Regions from separate parts of the Mus musculus genome. Here regions 2 and 3 are each reported to be linked to region 1. The links are microRNA targets in miRTarBase. Many come from high-throughput screens and were not tested one by one. Region 1 holds a microRNA gene; each other region holds the end of a gene's coding sequence.
Evidence for each region. Region 1 holds the annotated microRNA mmu-miR-883a-3p (UAACUGCAACAGCUCUCAGUAU, at 2,628-2,649, opposite strand). A microRNA usually pairs through its seed, bases 2 to 8, with sites in the 3' UTR of a target mRNA and lowers its output. Matches are read on the target gene's strand: a 7mer-m8 pairs with bases 2 to 8, a 7mer-A1 pairs with bases 2 to 7 and ends in A, and an 8mer does both.

Region 2: miRTarBase lists Abcc9 as a target of mmu-miR-883a-3p. Seed matches in the 3' UTR shown: 8mer at 2,318-2,325.
Region 3: miRTarBase lists Tbl1xr1 as a target of mmu-miR-883a-3p. The part of its 3' UTR that is shown has no 7-base or 8-base seed match.

What each region holds. Positions count from the first base shown.
Region 1 is chrX:66,778,141-66,782,456 of GRCm38, forward strand. Mir883a (microRNA 883a) reads right to left here and starts at 2,693; the gene lies at 2,618-2,693. It overlaps Mir742 (microRNA 742), which reads right to left and starts at 2,297; the gene lies at 2,233-2,297. It also overlaps the pseudogene Gm14681.
Region 2 is chr6:142,586,983-142,591,298 of GRCm38, forward strand. Abcc9 (ATP-binding cassette, sub-family C (CFTR/MRP), member 9) reads right to left here. Exons shown (of 40, transcript NM_011511.2): 40 at 880-3,521. The coding sequence ends at 3,384. Among named protein-coding and RNA genes, the nearest start is that of Kcnj8, 18 kb to the left of the region's middle.
Region 3 is chr3:22,209,832-22,214,147 of GRCm38, reverse strand. Tbl1xr1 (transducin (beta)-like 1X-linked receptor 1) reads right to left here. Exons shown (of 16, transcript NM_030732.3): 16 at 1-3,747. The coding sequence ends at 3,721. Among named protein-coding and RNA genes, the nearest start is that of Tbl1xr1, 140 kb to the right of the region's middle.

The DNA.
Region 1 (4,316 bases):
ATTATAAAATATTTTAATTTAAAAAGCACTTAAAAATTAAAATGAAACTAAACTTATTTTCCATAGTGCTATGTCCCTAATTTTAAATATTTTCACCTATGAGAAATAGGAATTAGATGAAAGGTTCCCCCTATATCTTCACCTAAACAATGTCCTGTGAAGGTAGCTACAATCGATCTTAGAATCAGAAAATACTCTTGCATGTGCATCTATGTTCTTACATTTACAATGACAGTACTTTATGAGTATCCTTATATTGAGAGAGATACCCCAAACTGTTTAAACTGTTTAAACCCTTTTCTTAAAGAGACTTCCTCCACTGCCAGAGATCTTGAATAGCCTCCTGGTCAGTCATCCGGAAACAATTCTTCACATAATTAATGAACTTGGCTTCCACTTTGGGAAGAGAACCGCCTTTTTCTATACTTGCTTGCATTTTTGCCTTAATGTCTTCTACAGAACTAGGTCCTTTTGGTGTTTTAGGAGTCTTTTCCTGTTTTTTGAAGGACTCTTGACCCTTTGATCTCGGTGTTGACGGTTTTAAGTCTTTTCCATTTTGGTTTGATTTTTGTGCATTTTTGGCTGGGGTATCTCGTACAGATTTCTTCACTGGGACCTTTTCTTCAGTTTCCTCTTCATCAAAATCATCATCATCATCATCCTCATCATCCTCATCATCGTCCTCATCATCTTCATCAAGTTTTACTTTTTTCTGTATCCTTATATTGAGAGAGGTTAGTAGAAAGTGACTGGTATCTGTCCTATATCACAATGCACACACCAAAATGAATGGAGACATATCATCTCATCTGACTCTTGCATTACCAAGAAGTTTCAGGAGTCCTTAACTCAAGTTCTTAGGGAATATATATACTCTCCTTCACTTTCTATCTCTACCACTTCTGGATCAGAGAGATAAAAGTCCTTTAACTTTATTTAATTACTGGGAAGGAAATTATTTTTTTTTTCTTTAGATTATCTTCTTTCTTTACATTCTCTATTTTGAAAGTACCCATGAGGTGAAACATGGATAGTCTACACTATGTTGAAAAAGTAAGGATATGGGGCAACAAAGACTCAAACCGTTTCTGTGTTTAGTCTTTCATTAACACAGTGTACCTCATTTTCTTTTTATGAAAGCATAATTCTTAATTTTAGCACCTTGTTCTCCTTTTCCTTACCTAACATAGATGCTTGAATGCTGTCCCATGAAAGTGATTAAAAAGATACACACAATTGTATAGTAAGGCTTTGTGATCATCCTGAAAACCATTATCAGTGATCTTACATGGAAAGCACTAATACTACCTAGAACCTATCAAAAATAACTGAATTAAAGAGCAGTACTTTACCTGGAAGATTTGTCGGTAGTCCAACTGTCTAACAGCTTCTTGAGTGAGATATAACATAAAGCATGAAGATATGGAGGTATCATCCATGTAGGCTAATCATCCCAAGCAGTTTTCATCACTTCACCAATTACAGCATGACATATTAACATTGATTTATTTATTTTCAACTGTTTGGGAATACAAAATATACTTTGTCACCTTGCATGATAAAGGAAGACCTCTTGACCTATAGCCAGATAGCCAGTGTGACTTTAAGATTAATCAGTGATATACTTTGCAAATGACTTTTAAAAACTAGGTAATGAAAATCTTCTAAAAGAATCAGAATATTGGGAGCATAGGATGAGAATACAACACAATTGTACCTGTATATCGCTGTTCAATTACTGGAGAAAGTTACAGAATACAGAAGATAGGAACTTGGTCTATTTAAATTCAAATCACTGATACCATCATAATTTCAGTGACTTGAATTTAAATCTGTTTGGTTCTTTTTCACTTAGGGCCATATTTATAAAGGAAGACTCTAATTACTTGTAGCTTTTCAGTCCACTTTCGTGCACTCATCATCTAAGTTGTCACAAGATATTTGAATTGATATTCAGTTGGGCCTGAAATCATTGATTGGTTTTATTTCTGATATTTATATTCATGATCCCTATTGAGACTGGCATGCAATTTTCTGTTCTTATAATTTGTATAATTTGGGTTCTGTGCAAGCTAGAATAATGCTAACTTCCACAACATTTAAACTTAAAAAAAAAATGAGAGCATAGTTTCTTCAGGTACAAGGAAGCAGATTCTGGAGCCATAATAAGGATGTATAGTTTCTTCATCTTTACTACCCAAGGCCACAACAAATGAAGAACATGATGAGCTTTACTTTACCCAGCATGGTGGCTTTCACCTACACTTCACGTGATTAGCAACCATGTGAGTAGAGCACTGCCCAGGTACTCTAGAACCAGCCCATCTGAAGTCTTTATTTCAACATGTGAAATAAAATTGAATAGAACATTGAAGTAAGTCGTCAACAATAATTACTTTTTTTTTTTAACCACACATTCTTCTTCGAAGCTGTCTTCTCATGTTCCACCATTAGGATTTTTCTTAGTATACTTCTAAAGTTCTACAACCGTTCTCTTCTCTATGGTTATAGATCTGAAGATATCATGAAGATGGATGAAGTATAATCCAGAATCAGTACATTTATCTTCTCTATGAAGGCATAATATGACCATATGGCTACCATCCCTGCGTTTGTTGAGCCTTACAATACTGAGAGCTGTTGCAGTTACTTATAGAATAAAGTAACTGCTACTTCTCTCAGCATTATAGTGCACACGAATTATTATTATTATCAGCTGACTTCAAAAACAACTTTCATGATTCTTCTCAGTATGACATGAATGCAATGTTATTTCTTTACACATAATTCCTCAGGAAGTATAATCATATTTTCCATTATCTTCCATCTCCATTTCAAGGTATCAGACTTGCTTCTTTCTTGATACTCCTCGAATCTGTATGAATTCAAGAGGTTAAGAATTAACAAGTCATAGCCGGGCGTGAATCCCATCACTCGGAAGGCAGAGGCAGGCGGATTTCTGAGTTCGTTTAAGGCCAGCCTGGTCAACAGAGAAACCCTGTCTCAAAAAAACAAAACAAAACAAAACAAAAATAGAATTAACAAGACAAATATTCTTATAAATATATAGGTCAGGTGACACCAAAGAATAACAAATGAACAAGGCAAGACCTCAAGATACCTGCAATGATTTAGTCATCAGCATCAAGAGAATATATCAAATGAAGGCTTCAGTATGTATTAATCTGTACTTTGAGATAGCATAGACTGATCCTTTGTACTTCATCTCAACAACAACAATTTCATCCAACAGCTTTTATCACAATCTTCACAATTAAACACACCCCCACTAAACTGTGTCTGTAAATGTTTGATTTCACACTTAAGCTGATGATATTGAAAATCCAATTGATTTTGCATGTACATTTCACATAAAAACCTGTCACTACCCTAACTTAAAGAGAAATGATGATCACAACAAAACATATTCTTTTATCAAACTTAATTATAATTATGACCAAAGTGAATATGAAATTGTAAAGGATTAATAAAAATATAATTTAAAAAATGTGGATTTTAGGTCAAAAGTTTTATGGGTGGGTTCGTGTCCTTATCTTTCACAGGAGGTCCTGCCTGTTTATAGGAGGTGGCCTCTTCAGGTTCCATGTCCACATTGTTAGGCATCTCAGCTAAGGTCACACACAATGGCTCCTGGGAGCCTTCCCTATCCTAGGTCTCAGGGTCTGCTTAGAGATTACCTCCACCCGTAAGTCCCCTGCAAGATAGAGATTTCCATTCATTCTCCTGGGCCTATGGGCCTCTTTCTTTTCCCTTCCCACACCTGATCCTGCAAACATATCCCCCTCACATACCCACATTGCTCCCTCTGCCTCCCATGACAGTTCTGTTACCCTTTTTAAGTGTGATTCAAGCATCTTCAATTGGGCCTTCCTTCTTGTTTAACTTCTTAGGGTCTGTGGGCGTATGTCATGGGTATAAGTATGTACATACCATGCATGTTCTTTTCTGTCTGGGTTATCTCACTCAGGATATTTTCTAGTTCCATCCATTTGACTGCAAAACTCAGGATGTCCTCCCTCTTAATAGCTGAGTAGTATTCCACTGTGTAAATGAAATACATTTTCTCTATCTATTCTTCAGGTGAAGAATATCTGGGTTGCAGTATTGCTGAATCTTCAGGTAGAACTATTTACAATTTTTTTGAAAAAACACCAGATTGATTTCCAGAATGGGTCTTCAAGATTGCAATCCCACCAGCAATGGAGGAATGTTCTTCTTTCTTCTCCACATCCTTGCCAGCATCTGCTGTTGCATCAGTTTTTTATCTTAGCTATGCTGATTTGTGTAAGATGGAA
Region 2 (4,316 bases), not on the chromosome of region 1:
TAACACTGGGAAATATCAGCAACCCCCCAACACACATGTACGCACATACACACTCACCACACTGAGGACAGACACATAGGGGCATGGTTTATATCTGCAAATGTATATGGCATGGGGAATATACGTTCGGAACTCAAACTCAGCAGAATCCCATGCCAACGGTTTGATAGCTAACTCAGATGTGGAAAGCACACATTGCTTTCTCATGAACAATATTCATGCTTAGAATCCCCACTGCTGGTTAAATGACAAAAGAAGATGATGTTGATCATCCTGGCTGTCTTCTCAGATAAGATCCAGAACAAGATCGCATCAGCAAGGAACCCTAACAATGAATCTCATGACATGGAGTGTCGGAGGAACTCAGAGTAAAGTGACATCAGTGACGAAGAGAATCCAGAGGCCAGAGGGTCACTCGTGAGTTCACTAGCCTCAGCTAAATAGTGAGTGTGGGGGATGGGGGGGGGGAAGAGGCTGAGGTGACTTAACCCAAACTTGGCCAATTATAAGTCTCATCTGAGGCACTTGCTAGAAACATATAGACATCTCTTCCTTGGTGAGTTTGATCAGGTGAATCCTACCAATACTTAATAAATCAATGATATCAATAACTTGCAGTCACTGAATTAAGTTTCAGGTGCACACTATCAACTGGTGTTTTCTCTGCTAATAGTTGGCATGTAGTTTTGGGGTATTTGAGTTGGTCCCCTCAATGGAAATAGACTTGGAGTGTGTTCATAAAAGTGACAGGACACATATGTGACACTTGCAAATCATGAAGGCAGGCAGGCTAACTACTGCCTGGCAAGTATATTGATTTATAGCTGTTGACTGGTTAACACTCAATGAAACTGTCTGTGGAAGAAACATTACTCTCCATAACTGAGTAAACAAAAGGACTAATTTATTGTATAAGGTAAGCCAATACGTTCTCATGTACTATTGAGAGTAAACATACAGTGTACATAATAAACAGATTTAATATACTGAGAATAAATAGAATAAACATATCAGGGAATAATAAAGAGCAACCCATAGTTACAGCCACATGACTAGCAGTTAAAAAAAAAAGTCAATGGAGAAATTACTTTATTCACTTGGATCTATTCACTTGTTTTAGTGCCAAGGGCCCAAAGATGGGCAGGATATGGTCCTGATCATAGTACCAGATGCTTAGAAAGATCTTTCAATACCTAACCTAGATATTGACGAATCATGAGAAATAGCGGGGGTGGGAGGGTAACCTTTGAGGAAAGCGATCCTTACTCACATGCTGATTCCGTCATTTTACCATGAACTTTTTTGTTTTGTTTGCATTTATTGCTTTTTATAGTTAGAATAAATATGTGTGGTGTTGATTTGGTAAGATCAATATAAACTTTAGCTCTGAAAATAATTGAGATTATTTTCTTTTCTTATGGTTTTACCTACAGTAAAAGCACGTTTCTGTCATCGGAGGTAGCCCAAGCAACGCAATGCCAGCCGGACCGACTGAGATGTCGCCCCTGATTCCATTTGGTAGGTTTTGTTTTGCAGATTATCAGACATTTCCTCACCTCAAGTAAGTAAAAGGTTCAAGGAATCAAAAGTCACTTAGGGTGCACAGGGTGGTGAAGTGGCTACACTGAGGGGCTGCTTCTGTAGGTGGATGCTGTTGCTATGTGAGAAGGAGGGCTTGCTGGATGATAAACATCATGACATTCAGCTCCAACAGAACCTTTCACGCCTGCAGTATTTTAGTAGATTGGTCAGATTTTTATGAAGTACTTTGAGGTTGAACTTATTGGTAATGGCTGTGATCGACTGGCTTTCTGCAAATAATACTATTACTTTCTTCTAACGAAGTTTTAGATACAGAAGAAAATGTAGCTATTTAAACTAAGTAATCTGGACCATTTTTGTCCATATTTATGAACATTTTTCTTACATTACATTCTATAGCCATGAAGGCAGCTTGATATATCCTGATGCACAAGAACTGTATGTAGGTCGTGAAACAGAATAAACAACACGTTAAAATGAGTACAGGAACCACGGGGAAGGAACATGTATTTTCTGTGAAGACCCTTATATGAAATTCAGCAGCGCTCATGTCCACTGGGTAAATGTTACAGAAACTGTGGATGGTGGAACACCAGGGGAGGCAACTTCAGTCAGCTTTGCTTTATTAATTGGCATTTGAATGAAATATGACACTAATATCATACAGACTTCTGGTACGCTCTTCATAATTAGAACAGGACAAATGGTCGAATGCATGATCTCAATGCCTATCACTGAAATTTGCCCAAGTAAAAATAAACCCTTGCTACCTATGTAACTGCAGAGCATGAGATTCTTCTATCTTCCCACAGAGATGCATGGCTGGGAATACCTGGTACCTCTGAGGAATGTGCACATGCCAAGATTAGCATAAAGCCAAGCTATGCTGTGAAAATGTGTGTGTGTGTGTGTGTGTGTGTGTGTGTATGTGTAACAGATAAGGCCATTGATCCATTTTCTTTTGGGTCCTAAATAATATAGCATTTCAGAGTTCAGAGTCATTGCCTGGCTGATAAAGAATTAAACTCTAGAAAACCTAGGTTGCCTATCACTGAAGGACTGAAGCTAACTTGAACTTTCTCTTTGTTGAACAGAGGAAAATGGATACAAGTATAATGTTTTCAAATATACAACCCCTTTTGGTGATCTTTTCTTTTGTGAAGGGTTAGCTTTATAGAGGTACCAAAAATGTGATAGCTTCTTGATGACAGGAAATTATTTAAAAGGGAAAAGTTAAAACCAATATTAATAATGTTAAATGCATAGAAAATATTCTCCTACAGTAGATCATGAATGTGAGTATTTTGTTAGAAAATGAATTTTCTTTTACCCTGCTACATGGGCACATCAACAGCAAGGTCATGCTAGTCTTCCAAATAAGAGTGTGGTAACAGCTGGGTGGTGGTGGCGCACGCCTTTAATCCCAGCACTTGGGAGGCAGAGGCAGGTGGATTTTTGAGTTTGAGGCCAGCCTGGTCTACAGAGTGAGTTCCAGGACAGCCAGGGCTATACAGAGAAACCCTGTCTCAAAAAAAAAAATGATAGTACTAAGAGTGTGGTAACACAGATTACTCATTTTAGCTCCCATGCTTGACACTTCTCTCCAATGGCTTTACCTCTTAAGGCTGCTAGCATGATTTAATGTAGCCTACTTTTCGAGTGTGGACAGATCGTAGTAAATGAACCTATAACACACGTATCTCAGAAACTGTTAAACCAAAACAGGAAATAGAAATCTCAACTCTCCACACAGAAATCCGTCAAAGTTGGCAAAGGTGAAGACCGCTCAGGTGGGCCGACGGTAGGCATTGAAGTACTTGTGCTGTTGAGAGACAATCCTGTCACATGTCTGCACGGACAAACGAGGCAAACACTCCATCTTCCTGGGCCAAGAGGCTTTCCGGGGTGTCGTATTCCAAAATATTTCCTCTCTTCATCACAATAACCAGGTCTGCAGTCAGAATGGTGTGAACCCGATGCTGCGTGAACGTGAGAAACATCGACATTTGCTATGAATTTGAGCACAAGAGCCAAGACGGTGAATATGAATATCTCACAGACTGGTCATGCATGGTTGCTTCTTTTTACTTTGGGTGTACCAAGAAATACCCTTTCCTTGTATGAATTAATTAATTCATTTATATGCTTTTAAATGCCAGCCAGCATGGTGGGGTTTTGTTTGCTCTGTCTTAACTTCAGTGCAGCCATTACTCACTGTTGCACTGAAACTTGACAACTGTACACAGTAATAAATGTGCCTCAGTGAAATGCCAAAGGGAGCCCATATGAACCAGCTCGGTTCTATTTTATTCTTGATTATAGTTAGTTCATGTGTGAGCCCACTAAATACCTGGATTAACAAATAATAAAAAGGACCCTGAGAGACTCTGGTCTGGAAATCTGGAGAAGTCTATTCTGGCATTCAACATTTGAATGCATTATATAGGGTTATTGACCTGTAGTCTCTTAGGGCATTATTCAGAGTTATTGACCTGTAGCACATTATAGCGCCCTTGGGATAGGGGATTTGGTGTTATTTATTAACAACATAACAACATTTTTTTCTTTCTTTCTTTTTTCTTTTTTTTTTTTTTTTTTTTTTGGTTTTTCGAGACAGGGTTTCTCTGTGTAGCCCTGGATGTCCTGGAACTCACTCTGTAGACCAGGCTTGCCTCGAACTCAGAAACCTGCCTGCCTCTGCCTCCCAAGTGCTGGGATTAAAGGCATGAGCCACCACTAATAACTGCCATTTATAAAGCATGCATCCTATGTTA
Region 3 (4,316 bases), not on the chromosome of region 1:
CATTTAGTAAAACTTGTCAGGTGTGCTTGCAGAAGCCTGGTCATCCGTGATTTCTTTAAATAGCAAAAGGCCCAGTCCTCAGCCGGCCTCTGCTCCTCATTCATAGTTTACATTACTCTTTTAACGAAATCATTCTACATAAACAGATAGCTCCTTAAAAATAGTACTCTTTCATTAAATCTGATCGACAGAAAGAATCTTAAGGAAAAAAAGGAGTGCTTTATAAGTGAAAAGTACAAATCTTTGGCCTGTCTCTTGACATTTTTATGTCAAAAAGCAAAAAACCCTTCATGTGATTCAATCTATTGATTACGTTTTGCACCATAATTTGTTTTGTATACCACAAAAGGAGGCACTTTCAGTATCTGCAAAAGGTGTTTAGTCCTAAAACATACTCACCTAGAGGATAACTCAGGAAAACAATCTGTTACACTCTAAGACCTACTCCAGTAACCACGCCTAAATCATTTGAAAACTCAATGATGTTACCTGATCATGGAAAATAGGGATAAATCTAAGTCCCCAAGGGTCTCCTGCCTGGAGTACACAGGTTCCTTCATGCCTTTCAAGGGTGGCAGCTGCTCCCTCCAGTCTACTTTAATCAATGATATTCATTTAAGCCTCCTATTCTCTGCCTTACAGTAACATATACAACAATGATCTAAATGAACACCATAGAAAGACTACTGGACTCTGGATTTTCAGAGCCAATTCTCAGAAAAAGACAAGAAGGAAAGTAGAGAGCCCCATGACAGCACTTGACACACTCAAGTGTGGTCTCTGGTGATCATCTGACTGCTTGGATGAAGACATGGTGTGGTGTCTGTGGAGCAGCATCATGGCACGTCAGCAGGCTACAGGGACAGTGAGAGCAGCAGCAAAGCACACAGTCCTACGCTCACAGAGAACCAGCCTAAAGGTAGATGTCTTCAGCCACATCTGCGAGGGAAAGACCCGAGGCTTTGGGACAGCAAAGCTCTGCACTTCTCTTCTATCAGACAATCTATCACAGCTAGTGTGCTGAAGTAAAATAGCCAAAGAAATAGGAAAAAAAAAAATAAAACAAAACAAAACAAACCAATAAACACACACCCAACAGAAAGCAAGACATTATCAGAAAATTCAGCTGTCATTTTGGCAGCTGTGTTTCAGGAATTTGTGACTGTCTTTGAATCAGCTGGGAAGAACGTCAATGACTGTATGCAAATGAATAAAATGTCCATATCAAAATACAAAAGCACTATCAACAATCACCTCTGACTTTCAGGTTCAGATTCAGTGCAATTGACAAATGCATCGCTGAAGGAAATGCAGCTTAGGCATACTCAAAAAGTTTGTGTCTATTCTTGGGAGCACGTTTAAAAATTATTGCACAGTTTTTTTATTTTTATTATTATTTTTTTAAACAACAACAGAGGCCAACAGATGTGACCCTCTTGCAGTAAAAGCAAAATCTCAAGTGGCAGACACTCAGCATTTTAGAATTCCTACAGAGCCACAGAGCAATGGGTTCTAAATGTCTCAATGTGATAGAACCCTGAAAACACCTGGCACAAACCATAGACGACTGCCTCTCTGGATGCAACTCTTAATATTACAGTATCATAGACCCCACTAACAAAATGGGGTAGATATAACGATGTATGGTAAAATGTAAGTGTATCCATCCTCTTTACCAAAAGCAAATGCCACCCTACCTTAATGAAGCCAAGACTGGCGTCAATCAACGCTGCTTTGTAAAGAACAAGGCAGCAAAAACAGAGCAGCAAAGCTGCGGGGCTGGGTTAGAGCAGTTTCGTAGAACACAGGGTGGGATTCAGGAGCCAAAGGCCTCAAAATAACTACTGACACACATAGTGTTATAAATTTGCTAAGCAATTTCTTAATTAAAAATTTAAAGATATAAATTTGACAACTGTTCTTTCTCTTCAGAACCTACACTCCTGGGTTCTTCCATTAATATCGACTATCCTGTCAACCACCTTCACAAACACAGCCTCTGGTGAACCTTTGTAGGTATATTTTACTTTTAGCTGAACATAAAGAGTCTGATTGAAGCCGGCCGTGGTGGCGCACACCTTTAATCCCAGCCCTCGGGAGGCAGAGGCAGGCGGATTTCTGAGTTCGAGGACAGCCTGGTCTACAAAGTGAGTTCCAGGATAGCCAGAACTATACAGAGAAACCCTGTCTCAAAAAAAAACCAAAAAAAAAGAATCTGATTGGATACCTATATCTTTAAAAAAAAAATACTTGATATAAACAAGAGTAAAAAACATGATATAGTAGTGATTATAGTGGAAACAAAACAGCAGCTTAGATCTACAATGCTTAAGTGCAGCTTTGGCGCCGTATATGCAGGCAGAGGGATAGCTCCAGCCACACCTCTCCTAATTTCCCCATCACTGCTACCCAAACATAGCTCAAAGCAAGCCTTTAAAAACTGTTTTCAAAACTAAGGTAGCAAACATTTAGCCATGTAATGGCAGTGTTATATGCTGCTGTAACCTTGCTTTGTAAAAAGAAAACTAACATGAGAGATTTTTTAATACTGGAATCTGGTTACATTACATATTTAAGCTTCTATACAGAATGATGGACACTTTGAGAAGCTAATCCTTATCCAGAAATATTTTAATCTCTTAAGAAACAAAGTAAAACAGACAAATGGTAAAATAAAAAATAAAAATAATAAAATAAAAGCCCCAAACTATGTTGCTCCTTCTCACAATAGTGCACATTTTTAACCATAATTTAGTTATGGCTACAAAACATCAGAAGATTATTATTTAGAAAAAAAAAAACCAAACTCTTCTTTATGGTATTAAAAAAAAAAAAAAGTTGTGCCCTTCTAGTCTTTAATTGGCAGAAATATGTCCCCAAAAAGAAACTATTTTAAGCGCTCTCTCTCCTCCCCACCCCTCTCTCTCTCTCTCACACACACACACACACACACAAAGAACTAAAACAAAAAACCCAGAAACCCAAAACAAAGATAACATAACACCCTTTGCTGATGTGTCTTAGAGAGTGACATGACGGAAGTCATGTAGTTTCCTATTATTCCAATTCCCTCCATAATATGCACCTATTGAGTTATATGCTCTGGGAGCCATCAGATGTACCAAACATCTACCTCTTCCAAAGAATGCAGTAAAATATTTTTAAGAATTTTTTTGTTGTTTAAAAGGTGAGAAAAAAAAGCAAGATAATGATTCACTCCCTTACTTCATGCATCCATAATCTAAACCAAAACAAACTTGGAAGCAAGAACCAACTACTGCCGCAAGCTTTTGTTAAGTCCATGTTCTCTGTACATACAAACTGCGCACTACTGAGGGGAAAAAGAATATAATCCATGTGTCTGCTGATTCAAAGGGGGAAACAAGGCTGTCATTAATATTCAAAACTGGGACATGTGTGGTTTGCTCTTATAACGCATATTCCTTCTCTTCTGGTTTTCATATCCAAACTTCTAAACGCTACTTAGGGGCACAGCAGGTTAGATCCCAGCACTTGGTGAGCAGAATTCACAAGCTGGGATGAGACTGTCATCTTCAGGGTACAGCTGTGTTCATATATACTGCATGTATATATTTCTCTTAGATTTGGCTGTAGTGGACTGGCCATGGTTCAAGTGGGACTATAGCAGTATATGGGTCAGGGATAGTCTTGTGGCTATGTACACATTCATAGTCGGTCCATGGCTTCCAACTAGTAACGCTATTTCCGAAGGTCTAAGACACAAACCTGTAAGAGATGACAACAGTCAGCCAGTATCAAGAAATCTACCTTACATTGCAAGCTTAACTTCTATAAAGAATACAATGTAATTTACAATCTAAGATGCAAATTCATAAAATCAAAGTAACAAATTATGGAAAGAAACCTTAACTGATGAAGGACATCGGGCCAATATGCTGTGATGTGATCACTACCAAGCTACAGTAACTGAGGAAATGCTGCTCAAAGTTTTAGGTTTAGGTCTTTAAAGTCAGTAAAAGGGGGATGGGGAACATACAGAGCAGACTCAGGTCTGAACACAACACAGGTGTTACGGGGTCATCTCAACAAACAGCTCTGCTTTCCTCTCTCCTGCTTTCCCTGATTTACAACGGGAGAGGCTATACTACCTCCCCCGGCCCCCCAAGTATCTACTAACAACATCCTGAAGGTCAGTATTAAATATCTCCCCACAGAAATCAGCCTCCATTCTTCATCCTCCAACACTCCACTTCAGAGGGGAGAGTTGGGGAAAGGGCTTTAAAAATACCATTTAGCAAGAGATACTTCATTACATTTAATTCCACAAATGGAAG